Kluyveromyces lactis: one gene and its partners. The protein of the gene in region 3 interacts with the protein of the main gene of each other region in a pairwise test. Links are inferred from orthologs where the notes say so. Each region holds a gene or a part of one and is shown on either strand. Other genes may lie near its edges.

Region 1 (4,245 bases), on a different chromosome or scaffold from region 3:
GTTTAAAAGAAGGACCGGCTCTGTTTTGATCCCTCATCCATCGAACTATGGAAATGACAGCTTTTTGACCTCTGTTAATCCCACTTTTTCTCTTTTACTAACATTCTATTGGAAAAAATCGCATTTCCCTCTTTTTTCCCTCCAGAGACCCCCCAACTTCATGCTCTGCTGGTCCAGTAGGTGATGATGTATATCACTGGCAAGCCTCTATCATGGGTCCTCCAGATTCCCCATATGCAGGCGGTGTTTTCTTCCTATCAATCCATTTCCCAACAGATTACCCCTTCAAACCACCAAAGATCTCTTTCACCACTAAGATCTACCACCCAAATATCAACGCTAATGGTAACATCTGTCTAGATATCCTAAAAGATCAATGGTCTCCAGCTTTAACTATCTCTAAGGTCTTGTTGTCCATTTGTTCTCTTCTAACAGACGCTAACCCTGATGATCCTTTGGTCCCTGAAATCGCTCATTTGTATAAGACCGATAGAGCTAAGTACGAGGCTACTGCTAGAGAATGGACTAAGAAGTATGCTATTTGAAAGAAATATAACAAAAAAAAAAGAAGAATGAACCGAAGAAAAGAATACTACAAAAGGACAGGGTTCGGCGGAAAGTAATATCATCTTAATCCGACTAAAAAAATACTCAAACCTTCCACCATTGTATATCCTACCCCTTTTTGTTATCGGTACTTTCAACTCACATCGTTTTGGACTTCTTCTGACACAATTCTCAACTTCAAGCTTTCAAGGTTTAAAGTATTAGAAAGAATAGTATATATATTAACGCACCAATTTTCTTTATATTATATTGTGTATGTGCTCATGGTACATGTAGGTATATATACCGTATAATTTTGATATATTTCATTTCCATTAGACGACTGTTTCCGACAGGTAAGCTAGAACCATTGGTTATAATTATACAAGATTTTTCAAGACTTTTCAAGACTGGTTTTTGTCCACAGACATTGGTTTCTGAATGTGCCAATTTGGTCACAATTATAGAAATGGAGAGACATACGCCTGATCATTCTAGCTAGTGAAAATCAATTTATCAATGCTTACCTAGGTACTAAAAACCTACCACAACTAGTCCTATATATATAGATACAACTGGGTAGAGCTGTTGGATACTCAACTCTTGTATGTTAAGGCTAAGCGCCGCTGAAACGAATAAGCCGTATGACTGTCCCAATATCACTTTATACGTTTTGATGTTTTTTGACATTTCGTGAATTTTGGAAAACACAGACAATCGGTGCAACTGATGGACAAACAAGATTCGGACCATACACTCAAAAGTCGTGCCGTTTACAGCTTGTATCAGTAAAACGAGAGGCAAGCGAGCTGGTAGTGAAGGAATTGATTCAGAATTTTCCTTCAAAACTACTCTTTATTTACTCTAGTGGTTCTTTCTGCGGAAAAAGTTGACTGTCCATGATTACAAGTTACCAGCGGTCCGATGCCGCCGCAATACTTCGAACCATCCAGAAGTTATTCGCAGATGATGTATTTAAAAAGCACCTCAATCCGAGTCAGTTACTTTTATTGAAGTACTTGTTGAGTCTACCAGACCAAGAATCAAAGACACTTATATGGGATGCGTTTCTCTCCGGCAAGTTGGAACTATTTGTAGAACTGAATACAACTCTTAATGCAACTTCCGACAAAGGTGCCACTAATGATTTGGTAGCGGCTACCAGATTACCATCATTATCAACACAACAACAACCTCAAGCTAGTTCTGGACTCTCGAGAACTGGCACTCCTTTACATGATTCGACTGATAACCAAAGTGTTGACGATGACGACAGTGATATGATCGATTTGGAACAATTGAAGGCCCAGCTAGATGGACTGGATTTTATAGGAAATTTATCTATGAAAGTCAGGTACGTTGTATGGGAACATGGACTCACTCTCCTTGAGCCAGAAACATCCTCAGAATACCTTCTACTTGACACGGATAATGATAGCGCTGTAATAGAGGATGGAAGTAATAATACTCTTATAGATCAAAGTGCGGTTCCCAACTCTTCCACGCTTCCTACAAATGACACAGCACCCTTGACTATGAAAGAAGTGAGCAAGAATAGCGAAAACAAAGAAGGCTCTGATGAAGATGATAACTATGATGAAGATGATGATGACGACGACGAGGATAATTACGATGATGCTGAAGAAGATCCTCAAAAGATAGAAAAAAATGATACAGAAAATGGAAAAATCTCTCATCCTAATGATCTTGATGAGAAACCCAAAGTGTCAGATGAAACTGAATCGCCAATTTACGAGCAACTTGATAACGGACTCATAAGACTGCATTTCATCATCTCAAAGGAAACTTTGAACGAACTTCCATCTGTAAATACCTACGATATCATCGGTAACTTTCACAAAATATATCATCTCTTTGACAATGATAAAGAGACCACTATGAGGCGTTTAAAACTTCAGGAAAATGATCAAATGCTAGAAAGCTCAAGGAAAAGGTCTCACGAACAGATTGAAGACGAAGAAGAGGATGACTCAGGGAACCCTAGCATATCTCATCATAAGTCTGCGGCAGATAAGAAGATCAATACTAAGACTAAAGCAGATATCCAAATGGACCTCGGTGTCGTAAATCTGTCATTAAGGCATTTGCTCAAATCGGTACAGGAAAATAAAAGTAAGCTAGATATTTCAGATTACGAACTTAAACATTTATTAATGGATGTTAGAATGAACAGATCTAAATGGGCTTCTGAAGATAAAATTGGACAAGAAGAATTATACGATGCATGCGAGAAGGTGGTACTGGAACTCAGAAATTTCACAGAGCATTCTACTGCATTTCTTAACAAAGTCAGCAAGAGAGAAGCTCCAAACTATTACCAAATAATTAAAAAACCAATGGATTTGAACACTGTGCTGAAGAAGCTCAAAACTTTTCAGTATAAATCTAAACATGAGTTTGTTGATGATATTATGTTAATATGGAGAAACTGCCTCACGTATAACTCGGATCCTAAGCATTTCTTGAGAGCCCATGCAATTGCGATGCAGAAGAAATCTCAACAACTAGTACCACTAATACCAGATATAACAATCCGTGATAGAGCGCAAGTTGAAAAAGAACTAGAAGATATAGACGCCGAGAGCAACATTAAAGACGATGAAGAGGATGCTGGTTCAGGTCGTAAGGGTATTCAGAGACGTGGTGTTCAAAAGGTTATTGACGATGAAGAAGAAGAAATGGAAGAGAACCATCCTGGAGGTAAAAAAACACGAGCAACTGATGCTGAACGGAATCAACAACAATCCACCAATAAAACAGTAAGCAGTGACAAAACACCTTCCACTAACGAAGCTGAACAAACGCCAGAAGTTGGCATAGTTTCTGCAGAGGGGAGAGGCTCCAAAGTGGCTCAATCTTCGACTAATAACGAATCTACTGAACCAGCAGTTGAAAGTAAAGCAGTGTCAACTGTTGAAAAAAACCAAGAACATGAGGATGCAGAAGAAGAGGAAGAGGAAGAGGATGAAGATGAAGAAGATAATGCCGCTGGAATGATGCTTCTTGAACGAGATGACGATAAGGACGATCTGGAATTGTCCACATGGAAAACACTTACAGCCAAAGCCCGTGCTGAAATTTGTTTGAAAAGATCACAATTGTTCAACGAACACAAAATTAATTCCGAATCTGATGCCCTCTTGAAAAATCCTTCTAAATTAAAGAATTTTGATCAGTTCTTCGAGGAGTATAAGCAACAGAAAGAAGCAGAATTTGCAAGACAAAAATTACAAGAACAGTCAATGATGAAAAACGGTTTTGGGGCAATAATGAACCAAGCAGATAGCAGTGTATCGAATTTTTCTGACACGAACGTTAAATCACAAGATGCCGAAAGTTCCTTGACTAAAGAATCGAATGAAATCACTCTCGAAGATTCTTCGTTATTGACAGAGTACAACATCACTAATTATATCCCGGACTTGGCATATACAGGTATTGGGAAAGAACAATTAGATAAAGCTGAGGAAGCTATGGTTCAAAAAATTATGAAGGAAGGAAAAGTAATGAAGAGCTCTTTGTTGAATACTGTCGATAAGGGGTTGAGTCCAAAAATGAACACGAATATCCAGTTGATACATGAGATTAGGCATATATGTCATAAAATTTCTTTGATTAGAGCACTACAAAATCCAAATAAACCCAAAAATTCACAACAACCGCTAAGGTTCAAAGAAT
Region 2 (2,991 bases), on a different chromosome or scaffold from region 3:
GAAAAATTTAATAGCAGGCTGTTGTTCCTCCGTGAGGCCTAAAAGGTTATTGAAATCCGTCATCAAATATCCAGTGACACCTGCACCTTGACTAAACCCACAGATACCATCAAATGGTCCATTTTCGACAACGTACTCTTTCAAGAATTTCAAAGTCACGTCGGGCAATCTGTACTCCCCATGCAACGGATCCGGTTGAAGCCACGCGTGATAGTCATCCCCAGAAGCAGCGCCGATATCTGCAACATCGCTAGGAAGATCTGCTGGTGATAAATTAATTGGTGCTGTAGGGTAGAAGAACTCATATCCAAGTGGTTCTAAGACCCGACGAAAACCTTTCGTTTTCGATTCAAAATAAGGACCAGACTGGGCAAGCCCATGCAACATCAATACTTTCTTAGACATTTTTTAAAAACCCTAGAACTGTTTATCTACCTCACAGCCTGAAGCGGTGTTAAATCCAAATCCACTAATAATAGAAACCGGACATAAATACCTACCCATATACTACTCCCCTTCAGAATACTGGAACAGAATTGGAAAACGTTGATGAACTTTTTTTTTTTTTAAATTTTCCTTGCGATGAGCTCCCTCTCCCTCTCTCTCTTTCTCTGCGAATCGGATTATCTCCTAGAAATCTTCGTACGCAGCTGGTTTTTCCAGGTACCTCTCGAGAGAAAGAGTACAAAATGACTACATAAGGATGACTACGGGATACATGCTAATTTTGATACTCATAAAAAATAAAACTAATAATATATAAGAGATCCTGTAGACACCTCCACTCATTTGCCTGTATGGTTACAAACACCCCGGCTGATAGTAGTCTGTATATGACCACACTGAGCTCCCACAAGTATATACTATCTACCGTTTACTTATGTATCATTTCTTCCTTTTATTTTTCGCTTTTTCATTTTTTTGCTTGATTCTGGATCAAGTTTTTTCTGTTTAACTTTTCATTATATGAAATTCGCACTCTAACAGATGATGATCTAGTAATCAGATTCAGTTACAATTTTTGGGGAAACGGAGCAAAGTCTTTGTGCCTTAGTCATCCTCTAGCTCGAGCAGGGAACTTCAGCTAGATATTTTTCTGAAATTTCTCAGTGCTCGTGCGTGTGCTTGGCCAAAATTTTTTTTATTAGTTATGGTTTGTCCGCATATGAATCAAGTGGTTTCTAACCAAAAGCTTGGTGACGCAGTGTTGAAAGAATGCGAAACGGTACGATATCTGCTTCGCCACGCAGACTTCAAGAATAGAACTATGAGAACCATGAGATGTATGGATTGTGGTGAAATTAGCTGTGGATCGACTTTCATTTGCTTGCAATGCGGATTTTGCGGGTGCTGGAATAACAACCATTTCTTGGATCATTCTCAAAAATTGGGACACATCTTTGGGGTTAATTCATCAAATGGTCTAGTGTTCTGTTTCAGATGTGGTGATTTCATGGCTGATCTGGTCGCTGAAATTCCGGCTAGCCAATGGGATACTGTAATGGAAAAGACCGAGCTACCAGCTAGCTTACACAGAGATGGATTACAAGGTTTGGTGAACATGGGATCCACCTGTTTCATGAGTAGTATCATTCAAACCATCATACATAATCCATACTTTGTCGAGGACCTGTTATCTCATAAGCATTGCAACAATTGTGACATTAAATCAGGAACCAAGTGCGTCTCTTGTGCATTGGATGAAATTGCTTGTGACTTTTACGGGAATGGACCTGGGACAGGGAAGTCTTCCTCCGTTAGCAAAGGCTTTGTAAACCTTTTATCTGCATCATGGCATATCAATCATCATCTTGTTGGCTCGTCACAACAGGATGCACATGAGTACTGGCAGTTCTTATTGAACCAACTGCATACGGATCATGCACGAGTATTCGGATCGTCAAAGGCCCCTGATTGTCAATGTATCACGCATCGAATCTTCCAAGGATATCTTAAAAACACTTTACAGTGTTCTCAGTGTGGATTCTCAAAGACCACAATAGATCCAATCATGGACCTTTCCTTAGAGATCAAAAATAACCCTAAATTAGAAGATTGCTTAGATCACTTCCAAAGAGAGGAAACATTAACCGATTTTCACTACGAATGCCAAAGCTGTAAACAGAACCAGGGTGTGGTGAAACAGTTAACGTTGCATAAGGCTCCTAACGTATTAGTTATACAGTTGAAAAGATTCGAACATCAACTCAACGGTCAAAGCGCAAAATTAAATGATAGAGTACAGTTTCCATTGCATTTAAATCTAAAACCCCATTTATTCCAGATTGAAGATGAATATATTCCTAATATTGCATATGATCTACTAAATGTAGTCTCCCATCAGGGGACGGTTGATCAAGGTCATTATACCACGGTGAGTAAAACTGAAGATGGACAATGGTTTAAATTCAATGATTCTGTTGTCACTTCAGTAACGGAAGAGCAAGTATTGGAACAACAAGCATATCTACTTTTCTACATTATTCGTTGAATATGTTAAAAGAAGAAAAACTCCTAAATTGGTTTACTAGGTGGCTTCCGTATATATATGTCAGAAAAGAAACCCAAATAACATCACACCAATCGACGTGTTATTATTGCCTTTATATCTTTTTTTTCAATATACAGACCCATATATATATAGTATTCTATCTAATCGAAGAAATCATCATCATCATCATCATCTGCACCGTTGCGGCCATTTCTACCAACACCAACATTAAATTTGCCTTTGATACCTGATCTTATACTGTTATGACCGTATCTCTGTTTCTTTTCTTGTTTAGTATAATCATCTTCGTGGTTCATTAGCAATCTACCATCTTTCTCGTCTACTGCACCAATATCAACCATAAGTCTTTCAAAATCTTCCAATTTAGTATCTTTTCCACCAAGTTCGAGTAGTGTAACCAAATGTTTTACGACATCACCTTTGTAATAAACAATCAAAGTCGGACAGTTGTTATCTGGATAATTCTCTATTGCTCTATT
Region 3 (3,379 bases):
AATCAATCAGTTCACAGGGAACTTATGACGAAGGGTTCTTAGATTATGATTTTTTCATATCTTCTAAGCTGATTGAACTAAACTGTCCATTTCACTGTCAGTTTAATTTTCTGACGAAAATGGGAGCTAAAGTCACCAAGGTCACAGTTTCCCTAGTGCAGCTTGTTCTGATACCATGCCTCAAATCAGATGGCATTACACCCTTGAAGAAATCGTATATCCAAACTAATACCGTCCATTTGGGTCATTATTTTCCCACTCCAAATGATAACGAATCGAAGCTGGTAACTGCTAAATTCGAAGAACTTGTAATTAACACAAACTCTAAAACAAGTTCCTTAATGACTAAGATCTTGCCATACTACTGTGAGGAATCAAGGTTAAGGTTAAGCAGGAGGAACTCAACTGAGAAACGTTTTAAACTTAAGATTACCCATCATTTAAAGATAACTGCTGGTACATCTCTGGAAGATTGTACTAACGGCACTTTTCCTGACAAAACAAGACGTATTAACATTAATTTCAAGGTGCCCGTTATGATAATTGATAAAAATATGGGTTCCAGCTTGCATTTACCAGCTTACGAACCAGCTATGGATGGTAAAGCCATGCCCGTTTCCATTGGTAGTGAATTTGATCAAACAAATAATTCATCTCTGATATACATTCCTTCAACTTCATCTAGCTGCTCTCCGCCAAGTTATAACAGCTTAGGTTTCTGAATATCCTCACCTCACAAACACAAGTATCTAATAAATAATATTTAATAAATAGTCGAGAATGTCAGTAATCATTTATCACCAATTCGGAAACAATTTGTCTCGTGACAGATTCTTTCTTGAAGTGTCGAGTGATTTCATCACATTAATGAATAAAAGTGGAATTTCGATACTTAAGGATGTAATTGAATAGCCAGAATACTATTGACAATTCCGTTCCAGGAGTGGTATCAGTGGTCAAAGTATATTACAGTAGACAGCAAGTTAGCAAACCATAGTGTTCATTTCCTCAAAAGCCATATCTCATATACCCATTACGCGTCGTATTACTGAGTACTATTTGGAATTACCCTCACTTCGCCTTTCCAATCGAATTTCGGTTTTAGTTTTCCGTTTGAAAATGAAGAAATCAGAAAATCGAATGAAATTGTATAGGATGGATGAGATTAGCGAGTTCAGGAAAGAGAAAGCCGCCCTATTTGACGGACAACAAGGTACTTCATTCGGATTTTGACTGTGCACTGACTGTGCATTGATAAGTAATTACTGATAATCTGAAAAAAGGTGACAATTTAGCCGTGGTTACCGCTCATTTTGAAACCCTCCACTGGTCAATTTTCGTCTCTGGCTACTGCGGTTTATTTCTACTTTGGTTTATTTTAGAACGCTGTCAAAAATAAAAGGCATATCGAATCACGTGACCGAGAATGTCTGTATCAACGCCAACAGTTGCAACAGGTGGTACGCCGACAATTCATGAAGATATTGGTATTAATAGCAACCATCAGAACAACAATACCAATTCGGTGAAGGAAATCAGCAAAACCAGTAATAACAATGGTGGAGGAAACGTTGGGTTTCCTCAGGATAAGCGATTGGATATTGAATCTATGATTAATGAATTTAATGAAGTTTTAAGCAAAGAGCATTGGGCGAAATATGCCAGAGTGATTTCGTTATTCATACTCGGAAAATTGTCCAGAAAGGAATTGGTCAATGAATTAGACTTACTATTTAAACCTACCCAAGAACAGCCGAATATTAAACCAAGAGATTTAATACGATTGCATAACCAACTTTTACTATCGATATTCACTAATTCTCTTAGAGAAACCACCGACGATGATCCACAATCATCGAAATGGGGGTTCCAGAACGGTTCTCAACAACAGAATAAGAGAAGATCAAACAAGCCCAACTCGCAGATCGAATTATACAAAAAAATTGTTGTTTCCCTACCGTTATCGGATAGACAACGATTAAAAATGATAACAAAGGAAGCAGGAAAACGAGGATTTGTATTATGTTCAGTGCTACAGGCTAGATTGAGACAGATACCGAAATTACCTTGCGTCTTCAACCAGGAAACTGCCAAGAGAATTCAGCAACAAGATCTGAAGGGCCCACAGGAATGGTCCCAAAAGATCATGAATGGTTTCAAAACACAACTTTCTACCGAGTCATATGTTTTACCGGATAATGAGTCTCTTTATCTTCGAATGCTAGGAATTGCAAGAGAAAATGGAATTGTTGGACAGATAGATTCGCGATGTGTTGATATCGTATCACTTGCATTAGAGTATTATCTCAAGACAATTATTGAATCCACCATAGATACAGTAAGATACAGAGAAAAGAAATACTCGGACTTCTACGACCTAAACGATGACGGGTTCCAACAAGCATCTAGTGCGTTAGCAAATAGTAAGACTGAGAGTGATAAAGCGAAGGATATTACTGGTAACAGAACTGTATCCATTACAAATGAAGACGCTTTGGACTCGTTCACGATATTCCCCAACGTTGTTGATCCAACAGGTGCATACCTTGGATTAACTACAAATGGGTTGGTAAATGACGATGAGATCGTTCATTTCAAAAGTCCTGTCGATGATCTATTTCATTATAAACGGGAAAAGCCTAACTTCACTCCCCTTGACGAAAAGAATATGGGAAGCCGGGAAGAGCTTAACTGGCTAATTAAAGATATTCTTACAAAGAAATAATGACTAACAGTATTGCGAATATTCTCAATTGAAGGAGCCAAAAGTCACTCTTCTGATTGATTTAATCGAACAATTTCCACGCTTTCATTTTTTTGTAGAATTTATAGACAGGGAATATGACTACTATTTCGGATTTGGTAGTTTATGTAAAGTTTGTGATAATTGTAATAATGAGGAATCTGGTGTATCAAAATTGAATATTATTAAGGATTCAAGTCTTAATAATAACGATTGCAAGAAGGTCGAGACTGGGCTGACAGCCGTCTTTGTGATATCAATCGCATTCATTTTCTGAATTTCCTTAGTAGGTGCTTGGATGAAAAATATGCTTTCAAAATCATCTTCTTTATCGAAGACTTCAAATTTCATAACATGAATTCCTCTGAAATCGGGAAGTATAAAATTATTCACTTCTTCAATCGGTAGTCTTTTAGAATGGAAATCAATACATTTTTCGTCAATGACAGCGGATAAATCAGAATCCTCAGAATTTAATAAATCCTTCGAAAGGTCACTGTCGTTCAATACAACCATCTGAACAAGAACTTTGGATTTCAAAAATCGTTCATTTATCGTTCGTAGGAAATCTTTCCTCAAATCATCGTTTATTGATATAATATTACAACTTTTCTTACTCTTTAAGCACGAATCGAC

Evidence for each region.
Region 1: the proteins of HFI1 (region 3) and SPT7 interact in binary tests that used the Saccharomyces cerevisiae proteins (3 or more experiments, as listed by UniProt). The link is inferred for Kluyveromyces lactis from reciprocal best matches to the Saccharomyces cerevisiae genes HFI1 and SPT7.
Region 2: the proteins of HFI1 (region 3) and UBP8 interact in binary tests that used the Saccharomyces cerevisiae proteins (3 or more experiments, as listed by UniProt). The link is inferred for Kluyveromyces lactis from reciprocal best matches to the Saccharomyces cerevisiae genes HFI1 and UBP8.

Annotation. Positions count from the first base shown.
Region 1 is NC_006041.1:1,117,197-1,121,441, forward strand, and holds the start of SPT7 (SAGA histone acetyltransferase complex subunit SPT7), read left to right. Parts: upstream 1-1,445; coding exon 1,446-4,245. Other genes in the region: KLLA0_E12563g (uncharacterized protein), read left to right, coding at 146-545. UniProt on the Saccharomyces cerevisiae protein: Component of the transcription coactivator SAGA complex. SAGA acts as a general cofactor required for essentially all RNA polymerase II transcription. At the promoters, SAGA is required for transcription pre-initiation complex (PIC) recruitment.
Region 2 is NC_006039.1:603,844-606,834, reverse strand, and holds UBP8 (ubiquitin-specific protease UBP8), read left to right. Parts: upstream 1-1,150; coding exon 1,151-2,491; downstream 2,492-2,991. Other genes in the region: KLLA0_C06996g (alpha/beta hydrolase), read right to left, coding at 1-405; PLP2 (Plp2p), read right to left, coding at 2,653-2,991. UniProt on the Saccharomyces cerevisiae protein: Histone deubiquitinating enzyme component of the transcription coactivator SAGA complex. SAGA acts as a general cofactor required for essentially all RNA polymerase II transcription.
Region 3 is NC_006038.1:904,002-907,380, reverse strand, and holds HFI1 (Hfi1p), read left to right. Parts: upstream 1-1,426; coding exon 1,427-2,725; downstream 2,726-3,379. Other genes in the region: KLLA0_B10373g (uncharacterized protein), read left to right, coding at 1-722; CIK1 (Cik1p), read right to left, coding at 2,849-3,379. UniProt on the Saccharomyces cerevisiae protein: Component of the transcription coactivator SAGA complex. SAGA acts as a general cofactor required for essentially all RNA polymerase II transcription. At the promoters, SAGA is required for transcription pre-initiation complex (PIC) recruitment.